Linked DNA regions of Tamandua tetradactyla. The protein of the gene in region 1 interacts with the protein of each later gene in a pairwise test. Links are inferred from orthologs where the notes say so. Each region holds a gene or a part of one and is shown on either strand. Other genes may lie near its edges.

Region 1 (10,020 bases):
TTAATCCAAAAAAGTTATAAGAGTTCCATGGATAAATTACCATGGAACTCTTATAACTAAGTTTCAAGTGTGTGACTTTTGACTATCTCCAGAATTTTTCTTTTCTTAGGATTTCAGTGGAAAGCAATTAAATAAAAACTTTTAGTTTACTGCTCCCAAATAAAAATTCACATTTTTTTTGGTGTAGAAAATTTAGAACTGTGCGATTAGTAGACTGGAAAGTTAAAATATCATTGTCAGTAACTGCTGTCTGCTGAAGTTCAAAGGAACCTATTATATATTAAATAACAAAAAGAGAGCTCCTCTAACTTCATCTCAGCACTTTCTCAACTTTCCCATCACAAACAATATATATACATAACACAGCATTCAATTCAACCAAACTAATAACATCAGAGTTTATTTTTAACTCCTGAGTCATTGACAAATAGCTCCCCTTCAATCCAATTCAAAGTCCTGAAGTTACTCATTCAAAATCTGTTCGTTTCGTCCCATTTTATTTTATTCCCCTCTTCATTCATAATATACCATAATATCTCCTCCCATTTCCCTAAAATTGCTCTAACGTCTCTCATCAAATCTGCTACCCAATTCATCTTCAAATATCTTGTTCAGCAGCCTACAGTGAATCCCAATCATCTTATAAAATTCAACCAACCTGTTATTAAGCCCCCACTGCCTTCCAGCAGCTAACCTTATCATATTTCTCAAATTCCATCTCTTCTTATTTTCGTTTTCAGGCCTCTTTAATTCAGATTTGCCATCTTGCTGCTGCCTCCCACACAAAATCACCACCTCTGTGCCTCTGCCCATTTCTTCCATTTAGAATACTAATACTTCTTGCTTCTCCATCAATTCAAGTTTTGCCTCCTTTAAAGCCTATCTTAAAACTCACCTTCTACAGAAAATGTTCCCTTTCCAACTCATCTGCTTCAACCCTTTTATTCTTTGTCCCTCAGAACAAAAGATTACACTTGTATTTTATCACCCTGCAGTCATCATGCAACTGTTTTCATATTTTATCCCATAAACCTGCCTTCACAACTAAATGATAGGCTCATGAGGCCAAGGACCTTAACTTCTTAGAAATCTTTGTTTTGAACAGGGTCCCTTAGAATTCTAGCATTTAAATAGGTTCTTAAGGACTCCCCTTTCTTCTAAAAATGCCCTTCAAGGTCTTCAAAAACATAATTAGCACTGAACTCCAACTTTTTAAATGTTAAATTAATCTAAATACAATTTAAAAACATTTTAATCTACACACTTTCTAAGAGTTACTCTACCCTCAGTCAACATCCGTATTATCAAGAACTAACAATCATTTTCAAAGAAAATCCTGGAAACAAAAGGAAAAGTCCAAAAACTTAGAATTAGCTATTCCGTTTTGTTCTCTGAAGCAGATTTAATGAATTAATTACCTAAATTGATCTCGAGTAGTTTTTAAACAATATTACCAAAATGTAAAACGTGTACAAGCACTCCAGTACCACAAGAGGCTCTTAAGAGGCTATTATAAGATTTGCTTCATCATAGTGGAAAATTAGCCCAGAATTTTAAACAATTCCTTTCAACTGACCCCATGAGGTGCTTAGAAAGCCTGTCTATTCCTTTAAAGATGCATAATCAGCTTGCCTCTTTACATACCCTGCATTCTCTACTAGCTAGTCTAGTCACGAGGGGGAAGGGGGATTAACTTAAAAAATTAATCTGCCATTCAGCTATAAACCTGGACTCAAAAAGCCACATGATTTGAAATCTTAAATTCAATTAAAAGTAATCATTGTACATGTAATAGCATATATATATATATATTTTTAAATCTCAGTTCCTCAGTTTTCTGTTCTAGGCAGCAAGAGCTTGTTTTTTATCTCATTATGCCCCTCTCTGGAGGAAAAAGGAGACAATACACACATTTCTGACAAATTCTGGAAGTATATTTAAATAAGCTGTCATTAAACACTTCATCAAATATACAATAAACATCTCCACAAACAGAGATACAATAGAACATCAGATACTTAGTATACCAACCACCTCACGAACATGGACTTTTCAGCACAAATCCAGGACAAGAGTACAGTCTGGCAACAGCTCCTATCAAGCACAGCCCAAATAACCCTATTATATCCAGGGCCACAGGCTTTTGCAAAGCCGTGACAAAAAGAGCTAAATCCATATTCTTATCATTAAATTCATATTCTTTCTAAATGTAACAGGAAGCCAAGATAAGAGTGTTTTAAATAGTCCTAATAGAGGACCCCTGTACTCTAGAACATTTAAAAGTAATGAATGCAAAGACACCCCCAAATTGAACTTAAATGACAATGAATCAGTGGCAATTAACATGTAACCTAGTATTTGGCAATATGACATTACAAACCTCAAAACTTATACCTACTTTCAAGTTACCTTTTGACTAAACAAATTAGTGTTAAACTGGTAATGTCAAAATGGAAGCATAAAAAAAAGTGCATTAAACCACTTATTCAATTTAAGACAATGCATGTAGAGATGGTACTGCTGCTGGATAGCTATGGGCTCCCAAACGCCAGTTCCAAGGAGAGGAGTCAATGCTCACTTCAAACATAAAGGTTGGTTCCTGATCAAGTTCACCCCCGGATTAAGAACAATACTTTGTATAGTCACACAAGCAAGAAAAACATGTTAGGGGGATGTGATATTTAGAGCATCTATTAAATATACGAAACTGTATTCAATATCCTCCCTCACTCAAAAAAAGTACACTCCGCAAGCGTACATGTCTTATGAAACAAGTCTTGTTTTCTTTATTCAAGAGAATAAGCAAGTAAACACTTTCATCACTATTTTAACACGAAAACACTCAAAACACTCGATAAAACTGACTACCAACAGCAAGAAAAACTATTAAAAAACAAAAGTTTCATATCAATTCATCCAAATACAAATCCTATTCTGCCAATTCAAGGTTAATGAGACAGGGGAAGGGGATACGAGAGGAGAAAAGAGGGAGCTGCCTCATCCTTTACTGAAGACTAATTTTGCCCTTTTTCGTAAACCAGATTGTTAAATCGGGAGGCCCAAAATTTTTAAACCCTAGTATTTCAAGGTTCCGTATTCTAAAGGTGAGGTAGCGAAGGGGGGTAAATTAAAATCAATACTCACTGCTAACTTTCATGCTGCCAAAAGCTGAAGGCTGCTGCACTGGCTTGCAGCTCTCCGCAAAGGAGGTGGTTCTGGGCCGCCCTGACATGATCCTGTCTCCCCGAATCACCTTCTTTTCCTTCCTTCCTCCTTTTCTTCCTTTTGCTTTGTATTGGGTTGTTAGGTTAATGATAAATGCAGCATTAAGTTCTCCCACAGGAAAAATAAAAAAAGACTTCGTCCTCTTGGCTTTTCACTCCTTTTGTATAGCTATAAAAAACGATCGATGTATTTCTCCTTCAAGACAGATCGGTACGGATATTTAACATATAGATGATTTGGGGATGGGGAAAAAAAATACAATTCTTTCCCCTCCCTTTCCTGGGGGAGGGGAAGAAAAGGAGGGATCCTAAAAAAAAAAAAAAAAACTCACGTGAAACGGGGACAAATACTTGATTGAAAATAAGCACTTAGAATATTATATATTCCTCGGGGATTTTTTTTCCGAGTCAATGAAGAAGGGAAGCGGCGGAAGGATCACGAGTCTCACGCTTGAAGAGAAGGGGGATGGGAAGGAGGGAAGGAGAGGGAGGGGGTGCCTCGGAGATGCGACGGGAAACGCTGCGGCTCCGGCGGCGGCGGCGGCGGGATCTGGCGGACTGACGGCAGGGGCCCCGCGAACTAGAGGGCGGCTGAGTCGCGAGTCAGTCAGAAGCGGGCGGTGGCAGCAGATCCTCTTCTCATTGCGCCAGGAGCAGCTGCAGGCGGCGGCTGGATCCAGCGGCCATGGCGGCGGCGGTAGCGGAGGCAGCTCCCTTCAGACCCCAGGCAGCGGCTCCTCGACTGCTCCCCATACGCCGGGGACATGGGAACCCGGCAACCGCTTCCGTCCCTCGGGGCCCCCTCCCCCGTCCACCGCACCAGCGCGGCCGCCCTCCCACCCCTAGCCTCTGCTCCGTGTCCGCTGAGGAAGTGTCGGCGCTTTGCCCTCAGCCCGAAGCCTTGTCAGCGGCTGCGGGGTCGGCTACTCCTCGCTTCCCTCCTTCCTTCCTTTGTCACTCGGCCCGGGCGGCGGCAGCAGCAGCACAAACCCGCATTCGCCTGGGTCGGGGCTGTTCTGTGTGAGGAGCGTCGTCTGCGCAGTCGCCTAGCTCTTCCTCACCCCCCTCCCCCTTCCTACTCGTCCTCCGCCTCCTTCCTCCCCCACCCAGCCTTACCCCGCCTAGAGCCCCACCGCCCGCGTAACAGGCGTCTGGGAATCGCCGACCGAGCTCGCACCCGCCCACTTCGGCTGAGAAGCCGAAGACCGAGTTGGGCCAATCACGACGCCGTTTGTTTGAGACTCCTCCGGAAAGAGCCGATCGGCTTGAGGAACCAATTAGAAAGTGTCGCTGGTAACCCACACCCAAAGAGCGAAGATTGTCGAAGATAGCCGAACGGGATAAAGGTGGATTCGCCTTGTTCTATGGCTGGACGGAAGAGAAAATCGACAATGCAGCAGTGACCAATCAGAGTCAGTCGCCCTCACGAAAAAGCACGAAGAGTTAAGGACGATGAACCTGGGAGTCGCTGGTGAAATTGCGCGGTTGGGCACCGCTGCCTCTTTATAATTGGCTGAAAAACTCGGCTGGGATTATACCTCGCTGGGTGATTGGTGAGGGGAAAGGAGGCTTCCGAGAATAGTCTAGCCAGTTACGACGTCTCCTCCCTCGCCGTGGTGCGGAGCAGAAGAAAGCGAAGAGAGGACGTCTATAAAATGCCTTCTCATTGGCTTGAAACTTTGGCGCTGGTGTGGGGGGCAAAAGGAAAGGGAGGGAGGGCGAAGCTCTTAGCGATAGCCAATCGAAACTCACTGCCGTCTTATCGCAAGACATAGCTGTAGTGTGATTGGTTTTCAGCCTGCGGCGGCAGTCCTAGTATCTGGGAGAACCTTAACTGGAGTAGTGGTGCCAGCCTGACGGAGGTTTATGCGACTGCTGTCAGGCCGTGCAGGTAGCTCGGACTTTTTGCACCCCCATCCGAAATGTCTGCGGTGGGTGGGACTGGGCTCCGAGCTTTTAAACGGAGGAATGTCGAGGAGTTCTTCCACCAAATAAAGGCTGTCTGCGGGGCACGGCCAAAACTGCGTGTCTGAGGCTTCCCTGAGCCCGGGATCGTGAGTCCGATGTACCTGCGTCTTCCCCAAAAGGGCTCAACGAGCCAAGGGAGCTTCCTTGGCAGGATGCGAGTTTTCACCGTGGCCGGGTGCTAAAGTGGAAACAAAGCTTCCAGAAAGGCAGCATCTCTGAGCGGTCGTGCCCCACCCAGCTGCTGGAGCCATAGCTAGAATGAGGCCGACTGCGCCTAGATGCGCGCGTCCAGTTTGGGCCTTCTGGAAACGCCTCTGAGAAATGAGCTCATGCTGGTTGCGCGCGCTCCTTGTGTAGACTGTGTGGACTGCAAAACCGGTCCCAAAAGTAGGTGAGAAATTCCGTCAGGCCGCATGTTCGGAAGCCTCTGAGGAAATGGAGAAAAAAATGAGCCCATAGTGGTTGAAGTCCTTTGGAACTGGAGTGATCTGTGAAAGTCCAGTTTGAGTAGATTTCACACATTCGTTCTTCTACACTAAAAAAAAAAAAAAAAAAGTGATTACTTTGGTCTGCCACAAGGCAGTGAAATATGGCTATGTCCGGATAGGCAAAGTAGAACGGAAAGTTATCCTGATTGTGAACCGTTGGTGCCTGTAATTTGTACCTGCAGAATCATCCCTTTCTGTTAAGATACTATCTCAGATAGTACCCGTATTTGATCAGATTACCTATTTCTTTGTAAAAGCTGATGAGGGACTTGGGACAGAATCAGGTGACCTTTGATGGGAGACAGGAAAGGTCTAGATAGAATTTGCTGACTCATATGTCTAGAGAAGCCAGACGAGTAAAGCAAATCAGTGAAGCTGGCTTGATGTAAGGTAATAGGGAATACAGAATGGCAAATTGAAGTGTCCACGCATCACCAGAGGAAGCAGATGCGTCTCACCTGAAGAAATGTATGTCCAGTGTCCTGAGATAATCGCTTCCTTTTTTACCCCAGGAGAACCCCTAAAACTGGGTTTTTGTGTGAACTCTCTGGATGTTTAAATGTTAGCAATCAGTATTTCGAAACACCTCGGGCCAAGCAAGAAACATCAGGGGTAACCAACAGTTAGTTCATCAGTTTGTAGTAGTAAAAACCCTTATTCTTTGTAATGAAGAGAGAACATGTAGTCAGTGGATGTCATGGCTATGCGAAACACCTCGGGCCAAGCAAGAAACATCAGGGGTAACCAACAGTTAGTTCATCAGTTTGTAGTAGTAAAAAACCTTATTCTTTGTAATGAAGAGAGAACATGTAGTCAGTGGATGTCATGGCTAGGGTAAAGAATGTTAAAAGCATAATCAGGGAATGGTGGCTTTGTCTGCTGAATGGTTCCTCTCCATGCCAAGTATCAGGAAAGACCTTTAGTGCTGCTACCTAAAATGCTATGAGTCGGGTGGGCCATGGTGGCTCAGCAGGTAAGAATGCTTGCCTGCCATGCCCAAGGACCTGGGTTTGATTCCCGGTGCCTGCCCATGTGGAAAAAAAAAAAAAAGAGTAAAATGCTATGAACCCTTTTAGCTTTGAATCTCACCTTCCTCTTCTGTACTCCGTATTCCAACTCCCAACTATACCATAGGAAACAAACGTTTATGTCATACAGATTAATAGCATACTTGCTCCTTTGTATTTAATAGTACAAAAGTTGTGTACATTGAGGTTATAATTACTTTATTGTTGCTGCCTTCAGTATTTTGAACTGATGTTGTATAAAAAAAAAAAATCAGACCAAGAGGGGTAGATTTTATAAGAAAGAAGAAAGTGTACTGCAGTCCAAGAATTAGGGCTTGAAGAAGTTTATGAGAAAATACAAAACTACTGCAACTAACATTCAGTAATTGCTTTTGTGAACTTGCAAACCTATTCTTACTTTCCTGCTTACTGTCAGCCACTTTATCAGTTTATATTAATTATAAATAAATTGTTTGCAATGTTCCATGCACTGTTCTTAAGTATTTTATAAATACCATCTCATTTAAATTTCATAATATTCTTTGAAGTACTATTTTCATCTCTGATCCTCAGATAAGGAAACTGAGGACAAGAAACGTTTAGAAAGCTAGAATAAAAAGTAGAACTGGGGTTCGGAGAGCCTATTCTTAGCGTCTCCTGTGTACTTCTGTCCCTACTTCTCCTGGTACATGTTGCTTTTTCTATAATCTAAACCTTATACTTTCTTACTGTGTATTTCTGGTTTTGAACAAACCTTATAGAATATCAGTTTGTTTTTCTCTAGGGCCCATCAAGTGGTGCCTTGCAGAGATTAGTGATTCTAAGCCGCAGTATCAGTAAACTAAACAACTGGAAAAAGATAAAGGGTGGAAAGCCGGTTGATAGAGAATGGTTGAGTAGGGTAGTGGGTAAGAGAGTCTACAAGATGGTAGTTATAAATTAAAATGCACAATGAACTGACTTTATAAATTCTGTAGTAATAAGCATTTGCATAGCATTTTGAGGTTTAGGAAGTATTTTAACATGTGTTATATCATTTTGTCCTCACAGCAAGCCAGTAAAGCTATTCTCTTTTTGCAAATAAGGAAGCTAAACACTAGAGTGAGTAAATGAGTTGCTCAGAATCACCTAGCTACATTTTAAATTGAAGTTTGAGGAAACTGTAGGTAGCTTTAATAATGAGAGTAGCAAATAGAATATGAGTTTTTTTTTTTAATGAACCTGGTGGCAGCCATTCCAAACATAAGTCTGTGAACAAGCTCTTCCTAGGAGCTCATTTACTTGACCAACATATATTAAATACCTACAGTGTTCCTGGGTGCTGCCCTTCAAATTTAATAAACAGATTCAATGCACTTCCAATCAAAATTCCAAAATATTTCTTTGCAGAGGTGGAAAAATCCAATTCTCAAATTCATAGGCAAGGTAAGAAATCCTGAATAGCCAAATATATCTTGAAAAAGAAGAAGAAAGGTAAGGACTCACACTTCACAATTTCAGAATTTATTACAAAGCTCCATTAATCAAAGCAGTGTGATAATGGCACAAAAAAACAGACATACAGACCGATGGAATAAAATTGAAAATTCAGAAGTAAACCCACATATCTAATGCTAATTGAATTTGGCAAGGTTGCCAAGTCCACTCAGTGGGGAAAAAAGATGGTCTCTTCAAAAATAGTGCTGGAAAAACTGGATTTCCACATACGAAAGAAAGAAAGCAGACCTTTACGTCATACCATGTGTTGGTTTGAAACTTGTATACCCCAGAAAAGCCATGTTCTTTAATCCTATTTAAATATTGCTGGGTGGGATTTTTTTTTAATTAAGTCATTTCCGTGGAGATGTGATCCACCCAACTGTGGGTGGGACCTTTTGATTAGTTGGTTTCCATGGAGATTTGTCTTCACCCATTCAAGATGGGGTTGAGTACTGGAGTCCTCTAAGAGGAAACAATTTTGGAAAAAGCGTCAGAGCCAACAAGAGACCCAGACATTTGAAGATGAAGAAAGAAAACACTCTCAGGGAGCTGTTTGAAACAAGAAGCCAAAGACCCCAGCAGATGCCAGTAACACACTTTCCCAGCAGACAGAGGTATTCTGGACACATCAGCCTTCTTGAGCCAAGGTATCTTTCCCTGGATGCCTTGGTTTGAACAGTTTTATAGCCTTAGAACTGTGAACTTGCAGCTTAATAAATTCCCTTTTTAAAAGCTGTCCCAGGGTGCGCAGGTGGTTCAGTGGTAGAATGCTTGTCTTCCATGTGGGAGACCCAGGTTCAATCCTGGACCATGCACCCAAAAAAAAAAAAAATCCATTCTGTTTCTGGTATGTTGTGTTCTGGCAGCACTGACAAACTAAAACACACCACATATAAAAATTAACTTAAAATGGATCAATGATGTAAATATAAGAGCTAAAACTATAAAATGCTTAGAAGAAAACATAAGGAGATATCTTCAGGACGTATATTAGACAATGGATTCTCAGACTTTCCAACCGAAGAAAAAATTAGCTGGATTTCATCAACAGTAAAAAAATATCTCCATCAGAGGGCATTTTTAAGAAAAGTGAAAAGGCTAGCTATAGAATGAGAAAAAATATTTGAAAAATATATATTTAATAAGGGTTTGATAACTAGAATATATAAAGAACTTCTACAACTCAACAACAGAAAGACAATCCAATTTTAAAATTACGAAAGATTTAAATAAGTATTTCTCAAAAATATATATAAAATGGCCACTATGACAATGAAAAGCTATTCAACATCATTAACCAATTAGGGAAATGTAAGTCAAAACCACAATGAAATACCATTTCACACCCATTAGAATGGCTAGTATTAAGAAAATGTTATTAAAAAAAAATGTGTTGATGAAACTGCAGAGAAATAGGAACATTCATATATTGTTGATAGAAATGTAAAACGGTGCAGCTGCTGTGGAAAGCAGTTTGTGGCTCCACATAAGGTTAAGTATAGAATTAATATGACCTGGCAATTCCACGTCTAGTATGTACCCAGAAGAATTAAAAGCAGGGATTTGAATAGATATTTGCACACTGATGTTCATAGTGGCATTATTCACAATTGCCAAAAAATAGGAGTAACTCAAGTATCCATCAACAGATGAATGAATAAACAAAAAGTGGTTTTTACATACGAAAGAATATAAAATGAAATGAAGTACTGATAGACACCACAACATGGATGAACCTCAAAGATATCATGTGGAGTGAAATAAGACAAAAAAGGACAAACATTGCAGAATTGCATACAAGTGAAAAATTAGAATATACAAATTCATAGAGACGGAAGATTATATGTTATCGGG
Region 2 (10,210 bases), on another chromosome or scaffold:
TGCTCCAGCCACACTCGCCCGCTGCTGCCCGTTTGCGCGATGATGGCTCCATTTCATGAGCCCCGCACGGCCTCCTCTCACTGCTCCCACTGTGATTTACGGGGCGGGTCCGCGAAGGAAACCGTGAGCACTGGGCAGGCGGCAGACGGGCTCGGGGACAAGACTGTTGCTAAAGGCTGCCAAGGTCGCAAGGCCAGAACAATGGGCCCTAATCCAGCCCTTAGAGGGCGCTGGCAGCGGGCAGACAAGGGAGAAAATCTTGATCCTAAGTAGCTGCTGCAAACATGCAAAACAAGTGAGCTCTACACGAGCGTCTGTTAGAAGGTGTGAATGCGGTGGGATGAAGGAAAGCAGGAGAAGGAAGGGAGAGGGTGGAAGGGCAGGGAGATGGCTGAGAATCCCAGTGGAGGTGAGGGGGGCCTCCCTGAGTAAATTAGCAAAGAGGGGAGGCAGAGGAATAGCCGGGAAGGGCACTCGGACAGCCACAGGGGGACAGCCAGGCACCAAATGTCCCCGCGGAGCCAGCACCCTCCAAGTATCCCATCCTAATCCAACCACTCCCCCCACTTTACAGACGTGTAGAGGCGCCAGGAGGGACAGTGGTTAGTTTCGGGGCTCACGGGGGTCATCGGCATGGTAGAACCATTTAAGACAGGAAGAGCCTCTGCACCGATCCCCTGTGCCTGGTGCACAAGAGGAACGGAGGGCTTCAATGGGGGGGGGCACTTGCCAGTTGGAAGGGGAGCCTGAGAAGCCGCCCCCCCCCACACACACAGCTCAGTCGAGTGCTGCGAGGCCCGGAAGGCGCTGCGACGGCTCACCCAGCCCCCGTGGGCCTGGATCCAGGGCGCAAAGCTGTGCACGTGCTCCACGCTGAGTCCCGCCAGGGTGCCCCCCAGGTGGGCCACGCGCCGGCTCAGCTCCAGGGCCAGGGCCAGGCGCGCCAGGGGCTCCGGGGAGGGCGGAGGGGGTCCGGGGCACGGCTGCGAGGCATGTGCGGGGCCCGGGCCGCTCCCGCGGCTGGAAAAGAGCTCCACGAGGCGCGCGAAAGAGGCGGCGGAGAGGCGGGCCAGTTTGCGGCGCAGGGCGGGGTCCGAGGCCAGCTGTGGGGTGGGGACAGAAGGGGCAGAGCCCACCTCAGCCACGCCCCCACGCGGGGGCCTGAGGAGACCTAGAAATTGACTCTAAGCCCCGCCCCCACCTATAACAGCAACTCATTATAAGGCACGTTCTAGGGGCTCAGAGAAATTAGTTCCAGGGGCGGGGTCTAGAAACAGACGCTAAGCCATGCCTTAGGTTTCGACAGCCAATCAGGACCAACCTCTACAGCAGCGGAGTTCTAGACTGTTTATCTCTCAGCCACGCCCCCTTAGTCCTGCCGAGCCAATCAGAGCCCCGGAACCCTAACTAAGGCCTATAAGAACCTGGGCCTCTGCCATTCTATTGTCGTAAAGCCATGTATTCTGCCCAAGCTCTGGAGTTATCAGATTCGAGAGCTCGGCCGCAAGGCATGCCCCCTCCAGCAGTCCGTTCCACTCTAAGCCATGACCTCGCTGAAGTCAATCCGAGCCTCAGATTTTAAACAGTCTCGCTTCCCCCCACCTAAGGATACCTCCTCTCACATATCCAATTTAGCCCAATTTCCTGCCTAGATCTTGCCTCTGACGGCCACGCCCTTCACATACAGGTCACGCCCCTCTAAGCCAATGACAGCCAGTAGCCTAAAGTACTCCCCTGGCCATACTTCCTGTCACTCAACTCTTTCTCTAAGGTTTGTCCCACCCACTCCCCTTCTGACCAGCCAATGAAAATGCAGATCTAGCTTCTCGTCCCAATGCCTTGCCAACCGCCAATTCCCATCCTCCTTGAGAAACGGAAGAGATGGACCATCACCTTCTCGTTGATGACTTCAGCCTCCTCCTCCAGCAAGGCCACCAGCCTCCGCAGCAGGGCTTCTTTCTCCGTGAGTGGGGGACCCTGTAACTCTGGAGGCAAAAGAATTCTGCTGGGGGCGAACTGTGGCTACCCTGCTACCTCCCGACCTCCCGACCTCCCGCGCGGTGCCTCTGCACCTCACCTGGGCTAGGTGGGGATCTAAGTTGCTCTTGGACCAGCTGTTCCAACCGCTGGGCCACCAGGGCATAGAAGTCTGGAGTAGCCGGGCCTGGGGTGAAAGGAATCAGTGACTTCTACATTCTTTCCTTCTCTCAACCATGGGGCAATGATTTCCATTTTATAATGGGGGGGGGGGGACACCAAAGTACAGTGAACAAGCTTGAAAAGACCCCCACACCCTGGTTCTTTCTACTTCATGCCCCCAATCTGGACTTAGAATGTGAGGGCTAAACGGAACCTTGGAGATGTTCCCATCCAAGGTAGAAAAACTAATAGTGTTCTTTCTGCTCTTTCTGCCCTGGGTCTGGCCCACTTCGTGCATCACCCAGTGATCTCAGTGCTTATCTTCTCATTACTAGTCTTCCCAGACTCACATGAGAGGAAACCTGTTCCATTCTTGCTTAAGTCTAAACTAGTCTCCTAGTTTTGCCTTTGGAGAGTGGAGGTACAAGGAAGGGAAAGGATTTTTGGTTGAGCTTCCAACCCCAAAACCTGAGTGGCATGACTGAAAATCATTTCTCCTTCCCTACTGGGGGGCACTTGTGACTAGAAAAGTCTGGGGAGAGGGAGGCATGGATGGAAGGAGAGAGATGACAAAGAGAGAGGAACCAACAGGCCTCTCACAGCCAGCCCAAATAGAGATTTCCTGGGGCAGGGCAGGATGGTGAGGCTTACTGAGGTCTTGAACTAGTTCCTGATCTCATCTGTGCTTCAGGAATCAAGGCTCTTGGCCCTGCTGGTTTCACAGGTGATCTGGGGAAATCTCTTACCAGGCCCTGAACTGTAGCAGGGGCGGAGGGGCAGGGAGCAAGGCCGAGGGGAGTCAGGGGGAACGTCTCCTCGCCCTAGGGGGCAGGGAAGGCATCGGCGAAGGCGGCTCAGGAAGTCGGCTGGCTGCTCCTGGGTGGGACTCCTGGAGAGGAGAACCTCAGAGAGTGACCCCAGAGGCCTCCTGCAAGCAGTCCCTTCTTCCTCCCACTGAGGGCCTCTCCCTGTAGCCCCAGGGACGGGGGAAAAGAACCAGGTATGAAGGGAAGGAAGGAGACAGAGTGAGACCAGAAGCAAGAGTCAGAGAGGGACCCACCCCAAAGATGGACCCTTGAGGGGAGGAGGACAACCCTTCTTACCTGGGTGCAGCTGTAACGGGGGACCCAGACACCTCGCCCTGCTTAAGGAAGGCGGCTAGGACCCTCAGTGTGTCATCCCGGAGCCCCAACTCCTCTGAGCCTGCCATAGGGGCACCTGTGAGATGGGAAGCCAGGCACTGGAACGCAGGGTCCACATGGAAGAGGAGGCTTGGCACCTGAAGGAGGAAGGGTCAGAGGCGCGTCCTCCTGGGTCCCCATGGGAGGAGTGGGGACTGCGGTTCCTGGATCCTGGGAGAGGAAGGGGCTGGGGGCTGAACTTCTGGGTCTAAGGGAGGAGGAGACTGGGGAGACTGGACTCCTGAATTTGAGAGGGAGAAGGGGGCTGAGGAGGCACTGAGACAAGACTCCTGGATCCTGGAAGAGGAGGGTACCGGGGGCCTGGACTCCTGAGTCTCAGGGAGGAGGGGGCTGGGGGCTCCGACCCCTGGATTCCAAGCCAAGCTACCGAAGCCCAGCCAGGACGGAGAATTACCAATCCCTGAGGGCTTCGTGCCAAATTCCCCTCGGTCTGCGCTCATTTGCTGCGTAGCCTGCTGGGAGGTGTAGTTCCGTATCTGGCTGAGGCTGGAGTTTGGGGGCCTGGGACGTTTGGGTGTCGTTGAGGCGGGGATGCGCTGCCCGCTTCGGGGTCGCGACCCCCTCCTCTTCCCTGCTCGCCCTGGTGCTCGCCAGGGCTCGGCTCACCTGATCCCCGACCCCGCCTCCGCCGCCTCCCGCGCTGCAACTTCGGCAAACTTTCGAAGTTACCGTTCCCACGCCTGCGCACTGGGCGGGGTGGGCGGCACCAAGACAGGGCAGGGCCAGAGCGCCGGCTGCCCTCTTATTTGCATATGCATTCCCAGCATGCCTTGCCTGTGACCGGATTGCCTAAAAAGATCCGGAGGGTGTGCATATCATTATACCCAAATTATATAAAGGGTTTTATCCCAAGACGTCGGTAGCAAAGAAAGTCCCACGGCTCTGACGTCCGGCTGGAGGGAAGTCAGGTGCGCCGCTTGGAGTTGGAGAGCTATCCCGGAGCCCAGAAGACAGAGGCGAGTCCCGAGGTGAGTAACGCGGAAGAGCTGGGGAGGGTGTTGGGGAGGTCGCAGACTGAGGAGGCGCTAGAGGAAGGGGCGATGGGGAGAGTGTGCACTCTGGGGACAAGAAAGGGCCACGCTGGGAAACTGCGGGAGAAGCTGCAGGAGGCAGTGGCCTAGGTCATTAGGTGCAGGAGGAAGGGACAGGGACCCACGGCGCGGGACGGAGGGGAGGACAAGTTTCCTCTGCAAAAAGAGATAGTCTAGAAAGTGGGGGCGTGCCCTATCGCGCGGGGAGTATTGTGGCTGGAGATCTCTGGAAGCCGGGAGTTGAGGCTGGGATCTTCCGGGGGGAACTCGAGGGCGATCCGCGGAGGTAGCGTCTATACGGAAATAATCAGGGAGGGCTCCGGTGTGGAAGTGGGGGTGTGTGTGCATTGGGTCCTGGGGGAGGGTGGGGCGCAATGGGAGAAGCGTCTACACTGGAGAAGTTCAGGTGCACCGCAGAAATTGGGGACGGTTGGAGATGGGAGGGAGTCCTTGCTTAGTTGGGGGGCTACTTTGGGACGGGGGGAGAAGTTGCTCTCCGGCGGGCCAGCTAAGAGGGAGTCGACGCGGCTGAGGGATCTGCCCCCGAGGTACCGGGAAAGGGAGGTCTGGGTGCGGGGTGCCCGGGCCGCGTGGGCAGGTGGAGGCCTCTGGCGCCCAGGCACTGCCCGCCCCCACCCCCGCGCGCAGGCCGGACGATGAGCGCCCAAAAGCCGCGGATCCTGCCCTGGCTGCGTGTGCAGCTCGACCTGGGGCAGCTGGAGGGCGTGGCCTGGGTGGACGCGAGCCGCACGCGCTTCCGCATCCCCTGGAAGCACGGCCTGCGGCAGGATGCGCAGCAGGAGGACTTCCGCATCTTCCAGGTGCGTGGGCCCGGGCCCGGATAGCTCTGGCGGGTCCCGGCGGGCGGCCGATTCTGGGATGAAGAGGGGAGGCGGGCGTAGCCTTCCGGGCCGGGGTCTGGCGACGGGTATTGAACTTCCGGGGCTGGTGCGCCGGGCGGAGGTGGGCGGGCGTCTGGCTGGGTGGGAATGCCCTTTTCCCACCCCCCACCCCCACCGTGGAACCAGGAAGGGGGGGCTCCGTAGGCGGAGGAAATGCAATCTTGGGACGGGTCCAGGAGTCACGGGGACGAGGTTCAGAGTCCCTAATTGGGACCTCTTACCAGCAGACTAGGGCACCCGCGGGGCGGCTTGGGGAGTTGGAGGGCAGGAGGCGGGTTATTTCGGGGATGTCCTGGGGCCGCTGGTAGCGGGGCGCGGCTCCGGATAGGACCCGGAGGGCAGAGGGAGAGAGCCCAGGTCTTTGGGTGCTCAGGTGGGGACCTGAGGCACGGAGAACCCGGGAATTGAAGGGTGGGGACCTTGCTGAGTCAGGAAGCGCCAGTAAGAGGGCAGTGTTAGGATACCAAGCGGCTGAGTTAGCACCCCGGAGGGCGGGGTCTAAGTCACTCCCCCGTTCCCACCGTCCCTCCAGGCCTGGGCTGAAGCTAGCGGCGCTTACACTCCTGGGAAAGATAAGGAAGACCGGCCCACCTGGAAGAGGAACTTCCGGTCGGCTCTGAACCGAAAGGAGGATTTGCGTGTTGTGGAAGACCGGAGCAAGGACCCCCTCGACCCACACAAGATCTATGAGTTTGTCAACGCAGGTGTGTCAGGAGTAGGTCTTTGCGTGGAGGGCCGGGCTGGCAGGGGTCCCCTGCACCCCTACTCTGCTCACTGCCTTCTTCGACAGGAGTAGGGCACTCTCCTGAGCCGAATGCATCTCCAGACACCAATGGCAGAGACAGTATCCCAAATATCCAGGTAAGGGCATGCCCCAGCCCTGCACCCCTGGCCTTGCTGCCTGGTTCTTTCTCCTCTCTCTCCTCCTGCCTGTACAGGCCTTGCCACCCGCTCCGTGGTCCATTGTCCCCACCTGGACCCAGAGCTGACCCTGCCCCTCATCAGCTTGTAGCCTTCTGGGGGGATATTCAACCTTCACTAGATGTTCAAAGCCCTGACTCCCCTTTCCAGGTTTGAGAGCTTTCCTTGCTTTGCAGGGAGCCTTCAGCCTTTTATAAATTCAGTAGGTTCCTACACCTGACCTTGTGGACCTCTGGGCCAGGGAAAGCCCCTTCTGGCATGGAGCCAGATCAACGGGTTGAAATTAGCTACCCCTCCCACCCAAGGGGGTCCTGAGCCCATGGCATGGGTCGGAGCTTCTACCCTGCTGTCCATGCAGGGGTGGGCGAGGCTTAGATCTGGTCAGGTCTGGCCCCTCCGTGGTGGAGCCCCCATGGTGCTGAGCTCAAGGCCCCGTCCTTTTGAAGTCTCCAGAGAGGAATCTCGATGTCTCCTTCCCTTTCCCTCAACAGGAGGACATTTTGGAAGAGTTACTGGGTGATATGATCTTGGCCCCTCTGCCAGATGGGGGCCCCTTGGGCCTGGCTGTGGCCCCTGAGCCACCCCCTCAGCTCCCGCTGAGCCCCTGCTTGGACATCCACGCTCCCTGCCCAAACTCGGAAGCCCCTGAAAACCCACTGAGGGGGCTGTTGCTTACTGAGGACGGTGAGTGCCAGCTGCGGAGTGGGAGGGGCTGCGGCCAGAGCCGTGGACCCCCTTACACTCCTGCTCTCTCCATCTCTACTGCTTCCGTTCAGAGTGGGAGTTCGAGGTGACTGTGTTCTACCGGGGCCGCCAAACCTTGCAGGAGACAGTCTTCTGTCCGGGGGGCCTGCGGCTCGTGGGGTCAGAGCCTGAGGACCTGGCGCTTCCTGGGCAGCGGATAAGACTGCCAGACCCTGAGAGAGCCCTGACGGACCAGGGCACGGTGTGCTATGTGCGGCGCGTGCTGAGCTGCCTGGGAGGAGGCCTGGCCCTGTGGCGGGCAGGACAGCGGCTCTGGGCACGGAGGCTGGGGCAGTGCCATGTGTACTGGGCTATGGGTGAGGAGCTGCTCCCTGACAGCAAGCACCGGCCAGGGGGCGAGGTCCCGAAGAACATGGATGGAAGTGTGTTTGACTTAAGACCCTTTGTGGCAGGTGAGCGAGGCTGGGGCCCGGCAGCCGAGGCTACAGCCTCTGCCCCGATGCCCTGACTGCTGGGTAGCCCAGGGCAAAGGATGCTCCTGTCCCAAGCCTGTCTCTCCTCTCTGCCTGTCTACCTGGAGCTGGTAGGAGATGCAGGGCCCCATAGACAGAAGGTGCTCTGAGAATTAGCTGCCATTGCCATCACCACTATTCTCATTAATTTTTGTGGTTGAGAGATAAATCACCTAGAACGATAAATCCTTGAGGCTGGCGCTCCCTGGTGGAACTTACTGGCACAATAAGAAAGCACTGCCTCTGTGTTATCTGGGGTGGCAGCCACAAGCCAAAAGTGGCTGCTGAGCGCTTACGTGAGGAACTGAATATTTTATTTCATTCTGATTTGTAGCAGCTTAAATGGAAATAGCTGTATGGGGCTGATGGCTGTGTATCAAACATACTCACCTCCAGATCTTGGGAGTGAAGGAGCAGAATACACCAATCACCTTTTATTAGCAGAATCACTGAGCACCCTTGGGGGACCAATGGGCCCCCCCACCCCCCACTCCTCTGGGCCTCAGTTTCCCTCATCCTGAATGCTAAGGCTCAGGATGGGGATTGGGGAGAAGGCTCTTTCAGCCCTACCCCACTGAGAGGGAAGAGGGAGGAACACCCCAGTTTACGCCTGAGGAGTGATGGGCCTTTGGTCAGGGAAGAGGGGGGTGTCCGTGACTCAGGTTTGGGGGTGGGAAGAGAATCCTCTCCCAATCCCTGACTAGGCTCCTGGACCCTTCAGATCTGATCGCCTTCACTGAACAAAGCAGACGCTCGCCACGCTACACACTCTGGTTCTGCCTGGGGGAGTCGTGGCCCCAGGAGGACCAGCCATGGGTCAAGAAGCTTGTGATGGTCAAGGTACCTGCAGCCCTGGCCCCCTAGCTGAGTGGGTGGGTCTCACCAGGCAAAGGGTAACTCCAGGAACCAGCACTCCCAGAAGCCCCTCTGAGAGGCTACAACGTCTCCTAGTCTCTCAGCCACCAGTCCCTCATCCCCAGGTGGACTTCACCCGGCTTTGCCCCAGGAGCCTGCTTCGAGCTCTGTGGGCTGTGTGCAGGTTGTGGACTTCCAGTCCCAGCAGCCTCTCCAAGGAACTACAACTCCCAGGTGTCCTTCTGACAGGCAGCTCAGCCTGAGGGGCTTCTGGGAACTCCTCCCAAAGCCGCAGCACCTACCCTGACCCTGGATGTGAATTCAAGGGACACTGAAATTCCCAGCAGTCTGATGGTCCTCCTGGGCTGCGGTTGTAGTCTCCCATCTGCCCCAGGGCTGAGACTGGCTGGGACATGCCGTGCCCCGACTGTCTCCCCAACGCCCTGCAGGTCGTTCCCACGTGCCTCAGGGCCCTGCTGGACATCGCCCGGGTCGGGGGCGCCTCCTCCCTGGAGAACACTGTGGATCTGCATATTTCCAACAGCCAGCCGCTCTCGCTTACCTCCAGCCAGTTAAAGGTCTGCCTCCAGGACCTGGTTGAGAAGATGGATTGGCAGGCCATGGGGGAGGCCTGAGCCCTGTCCTACCCTCATCACTGCCAATAAAGCAGTTCCTGCTACCCCTTGTGTGTCTAGAGTTGGGTGTGCCCAGACCAGTCCCAACCCAAGTGGGGTCTCAGTTTATCTACCTGTGGGTGGTGGCCAGGCAGGCAGCTGGTGCTCATTGCCTTACCTGAGCCGGGGGTAGGTGGCAGTCACTCTTGCTTTACAGACCAAGACACGAGGCCTGGGGAGGGGCAGAGGCCACAGGGCAGGAAGTGTGAGCCAGGCGGGACCCAGGTCTGAGTGGGAGCAGGGGTGCGGCTCCACAGGGAGACCCCAAGGCAGAATCGGCCCCGGCCTGCCCTGCCTATGAGGGCTGGGATGATGGTCAACAAGCAGAGCACTTCCTGCCAACCTCCGCTTCTGCGGGGGGCCTTGGACCCTCTTCCAGATTTGGCCCAAGTCCTGTTGTGTGACCCGGGCCTCTCCTGCGGATGGGGATGATGGAGCCCGGGTGGGCACCTCCGCCTCCGGTGTAGGAGAGTGGACTAGGTGAGCCCAGCCTTGTGGGGCTGTGGAAGAAAATCCAACTCAATAGGGGGGCAAAGATCGCACTCCTGGAGGCAATTCCAAGGTGGGCAGACAGCCCCTGAGGTCGGGAGCCACTGATGAGACCAGCAGCACTTTGCCCACAGTGAAGGCTACCAGTAGCTCACTGGACCAGGGACTGCTCTAAGAGCTTAACCCACCTGCATCTTCATTTATCTCTGAAAAGGGCTAACAGCCAGGCTTGGGGTAACATTTCATGAAATCTTTAATGAAATTGGGGGGAAGGACACGAACAAAAGGGAGAAGTGATGGGGACAGGCTTGGGGACAAGGGAGCTGGGCAGGAGGCAGGGCAGGGTGGGGGGCTCTCCTCTTCCCTGCAGCCGCCCTCCCCCAATCATCCCACTGACGGGGAAGGGGAGTGGGGAGGCAGAGCCATAAATATGTCCAGACTTTCGAAGGGGCCAGGGAGGGAGACAGATGGCTGGGGTCTCAGAGAGGGGGCAGGGGCAAGCCTGGGCCACCCTTGTCGGGGGGTCCAGGCTCCTTGGACGGCCGTGGGGGCCCTGGTGGGTCTCCGGGCTTGCGGCCGTGCTTGCGGAAGTAGCGGTAGCGCTGGACGTAGGCGCGCACCAGGTTGCTCACCTTCACGGGGTTGATCTCCCCGCTCTTGCTGTGGCAGATCTGGGGGCAGGGGACAGCTGGAGTCAGTGCCGGCCCCCAGGGCTTCCTCCAGCCTGGCCTGCAGAGCTCAGCCAGGGACTGGGAGGGGAGCCGCTGCCCCCAACAGCCA

Evidence for each region.
Region 2: the proteins of GSK3B (region 1) and BCL2L12 interact in a two-hybrid assay, tested with the Homo sapiens proteins (2 studies listed by BioGRID and IntAct). The link is inferred for Tamandua tetradactyla from reciprocal best matches to the Homo sapiens genes GSK3B and BCL2L12.

Annotation. Positions count from the first base shown.
Region 1 is NC_135336.1:25,801,902-25,811,921, reverse strand, and holds the start of GSK3B (glycogen synthase kinase-3 beta), read right to left. Parts: upstream 4,695-10,020; 5' UTR 4,341-4,694; intron 4,335-4,340; exon of another isoform or gene 3,533-4,334; 5' UTR 3,233-3,532; coding exon 3,145-3,232; intron 1-3,144. UniProt on the Homo sapiens protein: Constitutively active protein kinase that acts as a negative regulator in the hormonal control of glucose homeostasis, Wnt signaling and regulation of transcription factors and microtubules, by phosphorylating and inactivating glycogen synthase (GYS1 or GYS2), EIF2B, CTNNB1/beta-catenin, APC, AXIN1, DPYSL2/CRMP2, JUN, NFATC1/NFATC, MAPT/TAU and MACF1.
Region 2 is NC_135342.1:11,488,022-11,498,231, forward strand, and holds the start of BCL2L12 (bcl-2-like protein 12), read right to left. Parts: upstream 4,053-10,210; 5' UTR 3,948-4,052; exon of another isoform or gene 3,843-3,947; 5' UTR 3,782-3,842; coding exon 3,736-3,781; intron 3,419-3,735; exon of another isoform or gene 3,358-3,418; coding exon 3,243-3,357; intron 3,029-3,242; coding exon 2,886-3,028; intron 2,165-2,885; coding exon 2,078-2,164; intron 2,003-2,077; exon of another isoform or gene 1,986-2,002; coding exon 1,894-1,985; exon of another isoform or gene 1,478-1,893; intron 1,104-1,477; coding exon 822-1,103; intron 1-821. Other genes in the region: IRF3 (interferon regulatory factor 3), read left to right, coding at 5,029-5,193, 5,807-5,978, 6,065-6,135, 6,687-6,879, 6,972-7,352, 8,134-8,252, 8,717-8,902; SCAF1 (splicing factor, arginine/serine-rich 19), read right to left, coding at 9,910-10,101.